Linked DNA regions of Arabidopsis thaliana. The protein of the gene in region 1 interacts with the protein of each later gene in a pairwise test. Each region holds a gene or a part of one and is shown in the gene's direction. Other genes may lie near its edges.

Region 1 (5,807 bases):
AAATGTAGTTAAAGGGTAAATAAGTAAAATAATTTATCTAAATTACCTTCTCCATTTAAAGTGCCTAATTAGGAACTAACTTTAAAAAAAGTCTCTAATTACGTAATATTCTCAATAATAATTGAAATCATAATTTAGATATAAAAATAAAATTAGCAATACTTACCCATATAAGATTGGGTTCTTGAAAATCATTGCTCAAGAGATCTGTTCAAACAAAAAAAATCATAGATTGGAATTTCAATCGAAACATTTGGAAAAACTAAAGTCTAAATCTGAATCAATAATAACCTTACCTCTTTGTAAAATTCCAGCTTAGCTGCTAGAAACAGGAATATCACTCTCATCCTCAAGCTAATTTTTCCAGCCTCATTGTACTTCATTTGGCGGGAGAGGAACCAACGTCTTCACTCCGCTACTTCACGTCCTACTACTTCTATCATTAAGGAAATCAAGATGATAGTTAGGACAAGGCTTGATCCTCTTTCTAGGGCTCAGAGATCCACCCCTCCTGCCTTGACCCTCCTCGCCACTTGGTTCTCCTTATCCCAATGACATTTTCAGTTGTTGTTTCTTTTGTAGGCTTGGTTTCATTGGGTTCACTTTGTGTTTGGACCTTCCTCTTGCTGCGGGGGCTGCGTCCTCTTGTTTCGGGCCTCGGCCTTGTTTGTTTCTGTTTCAGGTTTGCGTACCCCTTCTCGGCATTTATCATATATGTTATGTTTTTCTAGTAAAAATTTAAAAAAAAAAAAAAAAAAAATTTCAGATTAGCGATTAACAGATGATAAACGGTGTCATAGTGTATTGATTATCAAAACAAATTGCAAGTGATTCATACTACGAACAACCGTTTGATTTTATTTTGGTGTGTGTTTGTTTAGAGAAGAAGAAAAGACAAGGTTTCTTCTAGAATTATCTATTCAGGTAAATAAACATTTATCTTTTCAATAAAATACAAAAATCAATCAATATGTGAAATGATCTGAAGAAAGTTTTGTGGGTTTCGGCCCAAAACAAAATTGTCATGTTATTCATTAATGGACTCCTAAATTATTCGTTGAAGCAAACAATTTTTGGCATTTTATTAGATATTCGATAAATAATCATAAATAATAGACTTATTTGTCTAAAAAACCACAAAAACAAATAAAAATTGTATGACTTTTTTGTGTTGTCGTCGTCGTCGTTATCAACCCTCATCATCATCATCACCAACGTAACCACCGACGCCATCATCATCGCCATTAACAACTGGATCTGTCTCCGTTTCCATCAAATCTCTTTCTCTCTCTGCAGATCAATTGATTTTTTACAACGTGATTGAAGCGGGGCTAGCTCCGGTGACGATAGTTGATTGGTTTTGTCCCTTAAGATGAGCTCCTTCAATGGTAACGAACGGCGTCGGCGGCCGTGAATCATGAGAGAGATGGCTCAGTTTCTTTTTCTTTTCTCTGATCTTCCTCTTTATCATCAGATTCTATCTCAGAAACTTATCAATGTGCGTTTGATTTTTTTTGCTTGGGTTCCCTTTACAATAATCATTAGGGTTTAGTTTTTGAATGGAATTCTCTTCCAATAAACAAAATATCATTAATGGTGAATAGTGAGGACGCAAATGATTATTGAAAAGCTTTGATTTCGAATACTCGATTGCAGATCTGCCACAAATCTGAAACTCTGTTTTTACTATTCACCTTCTTCTTCATTTGCAAGATGATTTCATTTCGTTCGTTTAATTTTTTGCTTTGGTTTCATAAATACTATCATCTTTAGGGTTTAATTATTGTGAATCAATGAATGTTTTTAGTTAGAATAGATTTTAAGAATATGAGATTTGGAAAAAAAATTGGATTTAAAAGAAGAGGAGCGTGCAAGAAGATGATGAGAGAAGATGATGAGATTATTCAGGGGTAAAATGATCAAATCGCCCTATCAAAACTACTCTTTTTCAAAGATCATACACAAAAGCCTCAAAATCAAAATTTTTATCAAAAAACATCCTCTTTTGACAATAACCCCTAAATAATATTATAAGTATTATACACTAATATTCTGCAACTGTCCAGATTATTTATCATTTACCAAAGAAATATATTAAAAATTATATTTATCTTTAAATTCAATATTTATAATGGATCAAACATCAAACAAATTTGTATACCGAAATTTTTTTAAAACACAAAATATAAGTTTCTCCTTAATTTTCTTTTATGAAATTTTCTTCTAAAAATAGAATAACATATAAAATAATACATAAGAGAGAAATCATGCTTTATTTTACAGAGAAAAATAGAGATTTACATTGGAGATAATCTTATATGAAAACTGTAAAAAACTATAAAATCAGGGCGAAAAATGTGTATGGTAAAAAAACTTAACATGTGGTTAAAGGTTTTAAAAAGATTACAGAATAGTTCTCTATTGGGCCTTCGAAAAAAGCCCAATACCCAACAACAAAAACGCGCGTGTATCACACCTTCAATACACTAGTAAGAGTCACACAGTGATCGTCACCGGTAAATTAGTTGGCAAACTCCGCCTGCTCTTCGATAATTCCGAGGAGCTTCTTCACTCTTCTTATATCTCATTTCTCTCTATCTCTCTCTCTCTCTCGCATTGCGATTAACGAAATTCGAAAAATGTCTCGTCTTCTCCAAACACCCTTCTTACCTTCAGTTTCCCTCCCCACAAAAACACGATCTTCCGTTACGGGTTTCCGGGTAAAGCCCAGAATCATCCCAATTCAAGCAAAGATCCGAGAAATCTTCATGCCTGCACTAAGTTCCACGATGACCGAAGGCAAAATCGTCTCTTGGGTTAAATCAGAAGGCGATAAACTCAACAAAGGAGAGAGTGTTGTTGTTGTTGAATCTGATAAAGCTGATATGGATGTTGAGACTTTCTATGATGGTTATCTAGCTGCAATCATGGTTGAAGAAGGTGGTGTTGCTCCTGTTGGTTCTGCTATTGCTTTGTTAGCTGAAACTGAAGATGAGATTGCTGATGCTAAAGCTAAAGCTTCTGGTGGTGGTGGTGGTGGTGATTCTAAGGCTCCTCCGGCTTCTCCTCCCACGGCTGCAGTTGAAGCACCTGTGAGTGTTGAGAAGAAGGTTGCAGCTGCTCCGGTGTCCATTAAGGCGGTGGCGGCGTCTGCGGTGCATCCGGCGTCTGAAGGAGGGAAGAGGATTGTGGCGTCTCCTTATGCTAAGAAGTTAGCTAAGGAGTTGAAGGTTGAATTGGCTGGTTTAGTTGGAAGTGGACCGATGGGAAGGATTGTGGCTAAAGATGTTGAGGCGGTTGCTGCTGGAGGAGGAGTTCAAGCTGCTGTTGCTGTTAAGGAGGTAGTGGCAGCTCCTGGTGTGGAGTTGGGATCGGTGGTTCCTTTTACGACAATGCAGGGGGCTGTGAGTAGGAATATGGTGGAGAGTCTTGGTGTTCCTACTTTTAGAGTCGGTTACACGATTAGTACGGATGCTCTTGATGCTCTCTACAAGAAGGTGAGTGTGTTTTGAAATCCGTTTGGTTGGTATGATAGAGTAGACTGGAGATTCCATTGATTGTGATAATAGTTGCTTGATGAAGTTTTGAACTTTGGGATGAGATTATGAGAGATAGCTAGTTGAATTATAAATGATAGTATCTTATGATGTGCATCAGAAGCATACACTAGTTACAAACTGTAAGTGTAAATGTTGATTTGGTTCACATTTTGTGTTTGGTTTGTTTAGATTAAGTCGAAAGGTGTGACAATGACGGCACTTTTAGCAAAGGCAACTGCACTTGCACTGGCGAAACATCCAGTTGTAAACTCGTCTTGTAGAGATGGTAACAGTTTTGTGTATAATAGTAGCATCAACGTTGCTGTTGCTGTTGCTATTGATGGTGGTTTGATCACTCCGGTGCTTCAGAACGCTGATAAGGTTCTTTTCTTTTGTATGCTTTATAAGAGATTTTGAGTTTACTCTGTATTCAAAACCGGTATCAGTGGGTTGTTCTATCTTTTGTAAACAGGTTGACATTTATTCGTTATCTAGAAAATGGAAAGAATTGGTTGATAAGGCTCGAGCCAAGCAGCTGCAGCCTCAGGAGTACAACACTGGTAATCCTACTACTAGAATATTGAAGTGATTTGAGTTTGAGTAATCCTTCAACTAGATTGTTTGAGTCTTGTTGTTTTTATTTCCCTTCCGGGTAATTGCAGGTACCTTCACTCTCTCTAACCTAGGAATGTTTGGCGTTGATCGGTTTGATGCTATTCTACCCCCTGGAACAGTTAGTGCTTTTACCTTTATGCGTGTATTTTAGTTTGTATCTTGGTTATGTCTTTTAGCCTAATAATTATGCTAAGGATAACAGCTCATTGGTTTTCTTGTCTTTGATCAATGAAGGGAGCGATTATGGCTGTCGGAGCATCTCAACCTTCAGTGGTTGCAACTAAAGACGGCCGCATTGGCATGAAAAACCAGATGCAGGTAAATGTTATTATCAACCATCGTTAGAACTTGTTCCTCTTCTCCTTTTTGTCTTCATGAAAACGTCTCGAGTTTTCCTGGGAACTTGTTAATGATGACTGGTCACTTGCAAACCCACAGGTGAATGTGACGGCAGATCATCGTGTCATCTATGGTGCTGATCTTGCACAGTTCTTGCAAACATTGGCAAGCATTATTGAGGACCCAAAGGACCTTACATTCTAGGCCAAATTACTGCTTTTCGCATCCCAGTCTTCTCTGCTTTTGATTCCATGGGAGCTTGTATTTCTGCGGTAATCAGTTTCTTTGATAGAACAAACCTTTTAAGATTAAACATAATCATTTCTTTGTTTGAGATATATCTTCTGCAACATTTTCTGCATGGAAAGGCCGTCCCACATGATTTTGCTACTGACTTCATATATATCCACTTCATGCGATGAATCTTATATGAACTGATAACTTTAGCATGATTAATAACATGAATCTTATATGGACTGATAATTTTCAAACTACAACTGTGAATGCATTACATCTTTCCTGTTTCTCTCAGCATCTCAAAAATGGAGATGCAGATGATAGTCTGTCAGAGGAAAGAAACCTCTCTAATCTCTATGCTGCTTATACATACAGATACAGTAACAAGCAAAAATTTACATATCATGCATCTGACACTTTTAATTAGAGTCTTGTGAGCATCCGTAGAACAGTCTTCATCTTTGGTCTTGCCCCAGGAGAGATGTTTATGCAGGCAAGAGCAACACCGAGGGCACGGAGCATCTGCTTTGTTGCTACAGTTGATGTTTTGCTCACTCTGAGATCAAGAATGTTGTTCTGCTGCTCTTGATGGCTCGAATGGCTCTGCACCCACTTAGCCAAATCTCTTCCTTCACTTACAGCTGGCCTTCCAGTTAACAACTCTAAAAGAATCACCCCAAAGCTGTAGACGTTCCCAGCCATTGTCACCCTCATCGTGTAAGCATACTCTGATGAAGTGATCAAAAGTGAAAGATTAAGAGAGCTGTTGTTTCTCAGACAAGCCCATATAAGTTTTGTATAATGTGTTCACCTGGTGGAATGTAGCCGATGGTGCCTGCAACTGCTGAGAGGCTGCTGTTGCTTTTGGAAGGATCGATTACCTTGAACAGTTCAATGTCCCCTACTAGAGGCTCAGTGAGCGACTTGAGTAGTATTTTTTTACTAGACAGATCTGGTAGAAGGATTGGATCACGACCGCTGGATTCGGATCCATGCAAGTAAGAGATTCCCTGAGCTATGCCAACCGCAATACTATACCTGCTTGTCCAATCAACCACACCACTGCTATGGTTGTGT
Region 2 (6,031 bases), on another chromosome or scaffold:
GCAATGCATTTTGATTTTCATATAACATTGTATCTCAGCTGTCCAGGAAATTTGTCCATCATTGCAGGATGGGGTGGATGATTCTTTTAACGTTAAAATCCGAAAAGCCACGTCAGAGGCTCACAGTTCAAAACAAGAAGCTTTTGCAGAGACTCTTAGGCGTCAGAAAGCCGAAAAAAACGCACTTGATGCAATCAGAAGGGTGAGTTTCCTTACAAAAATAATTTAGTTGGCACTGTTAAAACTTTTTTGGAAATGATTGCTAGATGTTCTAGCTGGAGATATATACTATACTGGAACCGCTAGTGTATCACTTGGAGAGATCCCTAGGCTTAATAGTGGTGCTTCTAGTTACACCAATAACAGCTAAAATATTATAGTATACTGATATTATAGGTAATTATTATAGGCTAAACAATCAGAAAGTGCCTATTCTGAGGAATTGAAGCGAAGGAAAGATACGGAGATAGCAGTAGCGAAAGAGAAAGAGAGATTTATAACAATAAAAAACGAGCAAGAGGTGATCATGGAAGAACTTCAAAGTGCAATGGCTCAGAAAGCGATGCTTGAGAGCCAGATAGCAAAATCTGATGGTACAATGGAAAAGCTAAACCAGAAGCTTGATATAGCTGTGAAGTTGTTGCAAAAGTTGAGGGATGAACGAGAGGAGTTGCAGACAGAACGTGACAGAGCACTCAGAGAAGCTGAGGAGTTAAGGAGTCACGCAGAAACCTCAACCCTACAGTTGCCTCAGTACTTCACGGATTTCTCATTCTCCGAGATTGAGGAAGCAACTAATCACTTTGATTCGACCCTGAAGATTGGGGAAGGTGGATATGGAAGCATCTACGTTGGTTTACTGCGTCATACTCAGGTGGCTATAAAAATGTTGAATCCTAACAGTTCGCAAGGCCCTGTAGAATATCAACAGGAGGTATTTTCTTGACATATTATTAGTGAAATTTCTTGTTTAGTTTCATCATCATTGTTTACTGGTTTATTGTGCACAAACTGCTGCCTCTACGAAAAAGGGGACTTTGAAACACAGTTCTACTGTAGTTTTGATTTTATAGTGTTCGCTGTGGAGGAGCTTTGACTTATTCTTGCGGCATTGCAGGTTGATGTCCTAAGTAAAATGAGGCATCCAAATATCATTACGCTAATTGGAGCATGTCCAGAGGGGTGGAGTCTTGTCTATGAGTATCTTCCGGGTGGAAGCCTTGAAGACAGGCTTACTTGCAAAGACAACTCTCCACCCTTGTCGTGGCAAAATCGTGTGCGCATTGCCACTGAGATATGTGCAGCACTTGTCTTTCTTCATTCTAATAAAGCTCATAGCTTAGTACATGGTGATTTGAAGCCGGCAAATATCCTACTCGATTCCAATCTCGTTAGCAAGTTAAGTGACTTTGGGACCTGCTCACTACTTCATCCTAACGGAAGCAAAAGTGTGAGAACTGACGTTACAGGCACAGTTGCCTATTTGGATCCAGAAGCTTCCAGTAGTGGAGAGCTAACTCCTAAGTCAGATGTTTACTCGTTTGGGATTATCTTATTGCGCTTGTTGACCGGGAGACCTGCCTTACGGATATCAAATGAAGTGAAATATGCCCTCGATAATGGAACATTGAACGACCTCTTGGACCCTTTAGCAGGGGACTGGCCCTTTGTTCAGGCTGAGCAGCTTGCTCGCTTAGCATTGAGATGCTGCGAGACTGTCAGCGAGAATCGTCCAGATCTTGGAACTGAAGTGTGGAGGGTACTTGAACCTATGAGGGCTTCTAGTGGAGGATCTTCATCTTTCCATCTTGGCCGTAACGAGCACCGGATAGCCCCTCCATACTTCATTTGCCCCATTTTCCAGGTAACTAATCTGTATATTTGAGTATGGATTTCCAGTATTATTATCAATCTGAGAAGACTTCGATCACAAAGTCATTAAAATTTGCTTATCTGAGGTCTCAAACCGTTATGTTGCAGTCTAATGGTACTCAACCCGTTCTTCCTCTGCTTTGTTTTCAAATATTTCAGGAAGTCATGCAGGATCCACACGTGGCTGCAGACGGTTTCACATACGAAGCAGAGGCTATAAGAGCGTGGCTGGACAGTGAGCATGATACTTCACCAATGACCAATGTCAAGCTTTCTCACACCAGCCTAATAGCTAACCATGCTCTTCGTTCTGCGATTCAAGAGTGGCTTCAACATCATTTGTGAAAATAAAATCCTTCAAACCCTCAATCCCTGTTCTCTTATGAAAAAACGTTTTTGCCTTTTCTGCGGGAGGCAACAGAGTAAGTGAGTAAGATTAGTGTTTTCAGTCTTCCTTATACATATACATACGATCTAATCATGGATAGCAGCATATTTGTTTACTTTTTCAAGCATAGTGTAAGTCCTCCATATCAGTCATATATGAAAAGAAGAAGCTGGTGAGATTTGTATGTGGATATGTATATATATATATATATATATATATATATATATATGTTCTGTATGAAAAAAAAAGTTATATGCTTATTCGGTTTGTGTGAGAAGAACTGCCACTATTTTGTTCTTCCATTATGTTCGGCTCTCTTAAGAACAAAGATTAGCCTCTAATTATTGGACATGATCTCACTGATGATGCCTTTGCTTAGCTAAAATTAGGATGAGTCTTACATTTTTAGTCAAGACTATCGTGTAAGACTTGTTTTCCACCTGGAAGAAGTTACCTTGGATTGCCTATAGTGATTTTTAATGAACTCTTAAAATTCTTGTGATTAATCTTACTTAATTAGCAGTGGGGTCAGGTCGTTTTGGCGGCTAGTGGCATAACTGTATAAAAATTCAGGATTGCACTGAGGTAAGCCAACCTAACGCAGCCTTTAAAGACACCAACCTGGAAAATGCTGAGAGTATTCTTCAGGATTTTCTCAAAAGTCTTGTGAAATTCGTGTATTTGTGTCAATATGTCGACATTTCTCTTCATACACAGATACTGTCGCTTTTGATTCCTGGTTTGGCTTGTTGAAAGTCAAAAAGCCTTCATTATTTTAATACATGATTCAGCTTCTGCGTTAAGGCTAGGTTTCGTCATTGGTACCGTGGTTGACTTCGTGTGCATGTTATAACATAAGAAAATGTTCTTGCTTGTTGATTGCTCCCTCTGTTAGATAAGTCATCTCTTTTCTCGTATTGCAAATTTTAAGTTTGTTCTTGTTTATTCTCTTGAGTGAATTAGAGGTATGTTTTGAGTGTTCTCATATGGAGTGTGTTGGAGATAGGAGCTTCGATCCAAGCAAAGGGGAAAAGTGTTGGCTTCATGAGGCTTCGATGCAGCCTTAAACGCTAAAATCCAGGCCAAGCAAGATGGAGATAGAGAGAGATGATGGGCAAATCAGGTTCGCAGCAGCTGCTGATGGATGAGAAGATATATGTTGCAGTGGGGAGTGACTTGGGGAACAAGTCCACTCTTGTTTGGGCGATACAGAACACTGGAGGCAAGGAGTTCTGTATCGTCCACGTTCACCAGCCACTCTACAGAAAAGAAAAGGAAAAGACACAAAAGATCCTGGACAAATACCTACAAAAATGCAGGCAAATGCAGGTATGTTTTTGTTACTTCTATTGCGAATAAGTGATTTGATGATACAAGAGATAAAGAGAGCCGATTGTGATATTCTAGGTCTGTGCTGAGATGATACACATTAAAATGGAGTCGGTAGAGAAAGGGATCATCCAATTGATCTCAGAGCGCAATGTCAAGAAGCTCGTCATGGGAGCTGCGTCAGACACACGCTATTCAATGTACAAAGCACACCGGCATAACTAAATAGTTTTGGATTTTCATCTTCTCATAGTTCTTGTTATTTCACCGATGGACTCATCATTAATCTTAATTTGTAGGAGGATGGCAGATCTGTTGTCCACGAAAGCCATTTACATTCGTCAAGAAGCGCCTGCTACTTGTTGTATATGGTTTACTTGCAAAGGATACCTGGTATATAAAAGGTCTACCCCTAGTCCCTGTAATCTCTGTACAACTGTAAATACTACTTCAGAAGTTTTTTTTAAAATGATATTTGTGTTTTGTCACACTCTTGTGAGTTTTAACAGGAACTGAGATTGTGAGAACAATCACATGTCACAAGCTCTAATATATCTGGTGATGGTATAATGCAGGGAATCTATCATGGGCAACACCTCTCTAGAGTATGCATCTACAAGTTCTGGTCAAGATTCAGTCCGTTCACGAGGATCTGTTATACCTTCGCGCCAATTCACGATATCTAGAGGAAATGGAAATGTGTATCAGTTAGCTGTCTTTGAAGCTGAGAAATCGAAAAAAGAAGCAAGCTTGGAGGCTTTCAAGCATCAAGAAGTTGTAAAAGAGAAAAATGAAGCAATCAAAAGGGTAACATCTTCTTGGAATCTCACATAAGCTATTGCCATTGCCCATTGGGAATGTTGTCCTTTTTTCCTGATGATAACGAAGTTTTCTGACCAAATGTAGGGTAAAGAATGGGAAAGTGCCTATTTGGAGGAGTTGAAACAAAGGAAAGAAACAGAGATGGAGCTGAAGAAAGTGAGAGAAAAACTCGAAAAGATGAGGTATATATCTGAGAACCGAATAACCGAGTCTTATATGTTGGTACAAAAGCTGCAAGACAAGTATAACTTGGCAACGAAAGTGTTGAGAAAAGCCAAGGAAGAACGAGATTTATTGATTAAAGGACGCGACATAGCAATTATAGAAGTAGAGGAGCTAAGAAAAGAGGTCTCTCGATCTGATGAGCACCGTGAAGCTCCTCAGTACTTCATCTGTCCCATTTCACTGGTAAATAAAAAAGTCAATATGGAGAGAAACAGAAGATTGTATCGAATCAGTTCACAAATTAAAACCTTTGTTTTCAATGTTTCAGGAAGTGATGAAGGATCCACAACTAGCAGCAGATGGATTTACATATGAAGCAGAAGCCATAAGTACATGGCTTCAGGGAGGACATGAGACTTCCCCAATGACAAACACGAAGCTTCATCATACAAAGTTAGTTCCAAATCTTGCTCTTCGATCTGCAATCCAGGAATGGCTTCACGCTTCATCCTCTTTTAGAAAGTGAACAGAAATAAAATCACACTAAATATATATTCTTAAGCATTTGCTTCAACGAACACGTCTACTTGTACTTTATATTAAACCCATGTAATGAAAAACCTTTTCTTCATTTTTCTCTCCATTTTCTATTTATTTTCTTAGTAATACAATCTGACCATATGTATTACGTTGAAAACAGCCAATTAACGAAATAAAATATGAAAAGATACTAAATCCCATTTGTTAATTGACTTTATCTTCAGTGTGTGAGACGTAACTGCTTGTGAACTTCTTCTTTTCTCATCTTGTGTCAGTGTGTGGCTTGTGAACATGTCTTCATTAGTTTCTTTCGAGTTTACATAACACAAAGTGAAACAAGAAACTGGATTCTATATTGGATCCACCAACTAAAATACAAGAAGAGAATAACTAATGAAGTTTGCATAGTAACTAGAGAGGCATTGGAGGGATCCAGTAAGGGAAGAGTGGTGTTGTGGAGAAGGCTGAGGGAGACTTGGGACGAAAGGAACGTGGTTTTCTAGTGGCGATATCGTAAACACCAAAGCCATCGCCTGCAAAATAGATGGAGTTAGGGTTTAAGCCAGGGAATGAGCTTGCCTTGACACAGAAGGGCTCACTTCTGCCGAGGAATATGCAGAGATCTCCAATGTCCTCAGTGTAACACATGTTCATATCTTCCTCCTCTCTAAAGACCATGAAATGCTTTGTTCCACGACACAAGAATGTCATCCTCTCGCCCGGTTTGTAGTTCTGAGCGTACCACTTGACTAGGAAACGCTGTCCTGAGGGAGACTCAACGAGGTGTACAGTCGGCGGGGAACATGAGTCCAAGAGCTCCCACTCGGACTGTGTCACCTCAGGAAGGTTGCAAAACCGCAACTCAAATCCTCGAAGCAAGAATCCCAGAAACCCAACAAATGGCCTCCAACACTA
Region 3 (4,345 bases), on another chromosome or scaffold:
TTTTAAATCCCCTTCTTTTTGGTCAGACATCAAGGCAACAACTGTCTCGAAATACTTTTCCTTGTCGCTCTCCCAGATTCGTTCTTTGTTGCCTGTATTTCTAGATAAATTTTGTACAGAACATTCAGTTTGTTATCGCTTAATGGCAATAAAAACAAAAAGAGAAGCAAAAGAAAGAGAAATCATTGTCAGGTTGGGCTTACATGTCAAACAAGTCAAGGAAGGGCACATTCCCTTGTGGTGTAGCCCCACTTCCGTTCAGTAATACATAAGTGCCTTCATCATTTTCCTTCTTTATCTTTGCTATTACATACGTTCCAGCATCGGTCCTTCTCAGCATGGTTGAGCCAGGGTCTGAGTACACATCTTCCGATGATCTATCAAACAAGATGCGTGGACTGACATCGTTAGATCCAGGAGAGATAACCCACGTCCTTGTTCGTCGTGTTTTATACCATGATTCATAAACCAGAGCTAATGTATCATCACACCAAGAAATCCCTCTGCAGAATTGAAATCGGATCAATGTTAGGACATAGAAGGCTTTGATGAAGTTAGTCAGTTTGTTGATAAGATGGCATAAGTAATCTACAATATCTGCTGTGTTTTTAGTTGTTACCCATAACGAAGATCGAGCTTGTGTAACACTTCTGGTTCTTCTCCTGCCAATGGTTCAGCAGACTGCATATAAACTATATCACGCGGTGAAACTTCCATTTTGGCATCACCTCCATCTTGTGTTTCTGCCCTACATATCTCAGAAGAGTTGTAAATTAATTACTTCCAAATCCCATTTTGGCACGTGTACTACATGTGATTCACTTTGAATCTCAAATATATACCAGTAGAGGGTTGAAGGCTTGTCTGCTCGCCAGTTTATTGAACGCATTCCTTTCCGCACACTATTGGAGGCAATGGGGATATCTTCAGCCAAGGGCAAGTCACATAGCTGTCTTACAAATCTACCATCAGTTGTCCAGACTTCCACCTTCTTTGGAAATCTACCACAAGGTACAATGAAGGAATATGGCCTGTGAAGTGATGACACCAACAAGTACTTATGGTCTGTCGAAGGGTCTAACGATGTATACACTGCAGGAACCCCTACTTCCTTCACAGTACCATCCAAAGAAGCCAATACTAGTTGTGATGAAGCGTAGTAGTCAAATAAATCAGCATCATACTCATCCTTAAGCAAATCTTGGAATGTTCTAACTTGGACAACAGTCTTCGTCTCGTTTGACAGAGTTTTGGGACCAGATGGCACCAAAGGTTTCTTTGGTGGTTCTCCACGAGATGAAGGGATTGTGCTCACCAACAAAGTGGAATTATCAATCCAAACAAAACTCTCAAAAATCGCATTCAGAAAAATATCTTGCGAGTTAAACAATGGTCTAGCTACTCCAGTCTCAACATCAGCTACCCATACCACTGGCTTACTACTATTTCCGTTCTCATCGACCCGGATGCTGAAAGCCAGATGCTTACCGTCATTGGACCATGTAACAAAGTTAATCTTACCACCATCTGGAATGCCAGTGATCTCCTTCTCAGGACTCAATGTACCATCAGGCAATAACTGATGGATTCCTAAACCAGTATAGAATGACATTCTGCTTCTGGTATTGCAGTATCCATCAATTCGAACACCAGCAAGCTTCTCCTCTGGTCTAGCTAAATCTGCGAGCGGAGGCAATGCTCTCCGCTTGAGAAACAATATCTTATCCCTATGTGGTGAAAATGATAAAGCCGGGACTGGTGGAGCATCTACAATATCTCTGATCTCAGGTGGAGGCAGACGATATCCAGTGCCTATAGCCAATTCTACATAGTTCAACACACAAACAAACAATCAAAAACGATTTCTCAGATTTCAATTCCAGTGACAAGTAACTCTATACACAAAAATATTCAAATCCAAGTTACCATCATCTTCAGTTGCAGTAGCAGAGGCTGATAGGGAGCCATTAGAGGTTCCACCACCGTCTTCAGCACCTCCAGAACAGGCAGATGCGAGAGAACGAAGCCTAGAAGCAGAACGTGAAGCCATGACAGTGGTCAACGGGTTTTCGGAGAATCGGCGAACTCTTACGCAACGTCGTGTACTCAGAGTCGAGAATCCGGAAAGCTTGGGAAGTAGAAGGAGAGAAGAAGCCGGTGACGGAGACGGCGGAGATAAATGGCAGAGAGGTGAAAGAGAGAAACGATGACAAGCTTTATGAAAGCGCATCATCTTTTTTTAATACTTGACTTTTTTAACCTTTTTAAAGTGCTCTGAATGATTCTCTCTTTTTCTATTCGACGGTTCACTAATCAAAACGACGACTGTATCTGTATGTATTTTTAACCAGGAAAACAAAAAATATCAGGAAAAATATCGGTAGTGGTCACTGCTTATGTGGGCCTTATCTATGGCCCAACTAGCGCTTATTTCCTGGAATATGGCCCATTATAAGTCAGTCGTCCTCCCCCTTTTTCTCAACAAAATGAAATACTCAAAAATATAGTAATTATTAATTTATTATGCTACTTTTCATGAGAAGTTTATGTCTATGAAAATTACAGAAGAGAAAATGATAACAAATTTTTATTATTTCAGTCAAAAATTAAAAAAAAAGCTTCTATAATTTTCAAGAAAAAATGTTCAACGGCTGATAAAATAAATATTCCGGGGAAAAACTTATGTTTCTCAAATTGGTAGAATACTACTTTTTGTGAAAAAATCTAAGTACACGTGGCAAAATATGCTTGGTTCTTAGAAGATAAGAGGATTGTGTTCACAGAGTTTAATAACGTGAACGAGTATATTTTATCTTCTTCATCTCTTCACATCAAAAAACTTTTCTCCTCCATCAAAATCCTCCGACGATGACAACCATAGCTGCAGCTGGCCTCAACGTCGCGACTCCACGAGTGGTCGTTCGACCTGTGGCTCGTGTATTAGGTCCGGTCCGGTTGAATTACCCGTGGAAATTCGGTTCGATGAAGCGGATGGTTGTGGTTAAGGCTACATCGGAAGGAGAGATATCGGAGAAGGTGGAGAAGAGTATACAAGAAGCTAAGGAGACATGCGCTGATGATCCGGTGAGCGGGGAGTGTGTAGCGGCTTGGGACGAGGTGGAGGAGCTGAGTGCGGCGGCGAGTCATGCTAGGGACAAGAAGAAAGCTGGTGGCTCCGATCCTTTGGAAGAGTATTGCAATGATAATCCTGAGACTGATGAGTGTCGTACTTATGATAATTAAAAAATATGTTTTTGATGTTCGAATTATGAAACTTTAGGTATGGATCAATGTTTGTTCTTCTTGTCCCTTGTTGTTATGTTTGTGTTTTTGGTTTGGTTGATGATTGTAATGTGATAAATGAATATGAATAGTACAATACACAACATATGTTTCATAATGTGTTTGGTTCGATTACATTTGCAGTTTCGTGAAATTGATAATAAAAAACTCAATTAAGTTTAGATGAGGCTGAGATGATCTTAGGTCACTCGCATACGTTCCTTATTATTTTTTTGTGGATGTGGAGATGTATGTGTCAAAACGACGTTGAGCCGAGAGAAAGATGAATTGATCGAGAGTTTCTTAGACGGTTTTAAAATTGCTGCCTTGCTGGTATGGGAATTAATCTTTGGTTTCAACAAGATGGGTAACAACAAACAAGCCCATGTAATTATGTTGATGCAGTGTAATGGGCTTTATCAAGCATGGGCCGATGTACAAATTTGACATATAGAATAGAACCAGTTTGTGGCCAGCCTCAAGGTGATGAGAAACAGTAAATATATTAAGGAATAAGTGAACTAAATAATTTGACAAAAAAAAAAACACCTGAAATGTATACAATTTTATTGTTTGATAACAAAATTTGTGAAGTTAAGTGAATGAATTCAAAATCGTTTATCTTCTAGCATTAAATTGATTAATCTAAAGTAAATGATACGAGTGTGCTTGTTTGATGCTCTTCTGTGTTATTTTGCAAATTTGAATTCGTTCACTTATATATATTTTTGGCGGTTCAGAAAAGTAGATTTTAACAAGAAAAATGCATCGGCACGGTATCACCAGTTAAAATCTGAAGGTAAAAAGGTTATATATGAATTTGTAAGAAAACAACAAAAATTAAGCCGATCTATTTGTCGGCCCAGCCGCTAAAGAGTCAATTATACCCCTATAATTCTCACGCGGTTTAAGAAAATGCAACAACAAGTAAGGGGTGTATCTGTCTTCTCACACATAAGATTTTTTTTTTTGCTTATTAAAACTCTTACGTATTGTTGTTTCCTATTCTCAAATTTGTATTTTCCAGATTTTCCAGAAAAATCTCACAGCGGTAAGAAAAAAA

The links.
Region 2: the proteins of EMB3003 (region 1) and AT2G45920 interact in a two-hybrid assay, tested with the Arabidopsis thaliana proteins (one large-scale study listed by BioGRID).
Region 3: the proteins of EMB3003 (region 1) and CP12-1 interact in a two-hybrid assay, tested with the Arabidopsis thaliana proteins (one large-scale study listed by BioGRID).

What each region holds. Positions count from the first base shown.
Region 1 is NC_003070.9:12,586,917-12,592,723, reverse strand, and holds EMB3003 (2-oxoacid dehydrogenases acyltransferase family protein), read left to right. Parts: upstream 1-2,500; 5' UTR 2,501-2,639; coding exon 2,640-3,497; intron 3,498-3,728; coding exon 3,729-3,920; intron 3,921-4,011; coding exon 4,012-4,099; intron 4,100-4,201; coding exon 4,202-4,272; intron 4,273-4,388; coding exon 4,389-4,472; intron 4,473-4,592; coding exon 4,593-4,697; 3' UTR 4,698-4,998; downstream 4,999-5,807. Other genes in the region: AT1G34440 (uncharacterized protein), read left to right, coding at 1-15, 315-536, 583-682, 882-924, 1,297-1,376; AT1G34420 (leucine-rich repeat transmembrane protein kinase family protein), read right to left, coding at 5,154-5,458, 5,542-5,807. UniProt on the Arabidopsis thaliana protein: The pyruvate dehydrogenase complex catalyzes the overall conversion of pyruvate to acetyl-CoA and CO(2).
Region 2 is NC_003071.7:18,895,996-18,902,026, forward strand, and holds AT2G45920 (U-box domain-containing protein), read left to right. Parts: upstream 1-2,633; 5' UTR 2,634-3,367; coding exon 3,368-3,589; intron 3,590-3,667; coding exon 3,668-3,789; intron 3,790-3,888; coding exon 3,889-3,993; intron 3,994-4,164; coding exon 4,165-4,396; intron 4,397-4,495; coding exon 4,496-4,819; coding exon of another isoform or gene 4,820-4,904; coding exon 4,905-5,102; 3' UTR 5,103-5,308; downstream 5,309-6,031. Other genes in the region: AT2G45910 (U-box domain-containing protein kinase family protein), read left to right, coding at 68-202, 410-934, 1,118-1,864, 2,032-2,217; AT2G45930 (uncharacterized protein), read right to left, coding at 5,950-6,031. UniProt on the Arabidopsis thaliana protein: Functions as an E3 ubiquitin ligase.
Region 3 is NC_003071.7:19,444,021-19,448,365, forward strand, and holds CP12-1 (CP12 domain-containing protein 1), read left to right. Parts: upstream 1-2,709; 5' UTR 2,710-2,868; coding exon 2,869-3,243; 3' UTR 3,244-3,622; downstream 3,623-4,345. Other genes in the region: AT2G47390 (Prolyl oligopeptidase family protein), read right to left, coding at 1-100, 204-503, 620-748, 843-1,824, 1,927-2,233. UniProt on the Arabidopsis thaliana protein: Acts as a linker essential in the assembly of a core complex of PRK/GAPDH. Coordinates the reversible inactivation of chloroplast enzymes GAPDH and PRK during darkness in photosynthetic tissues.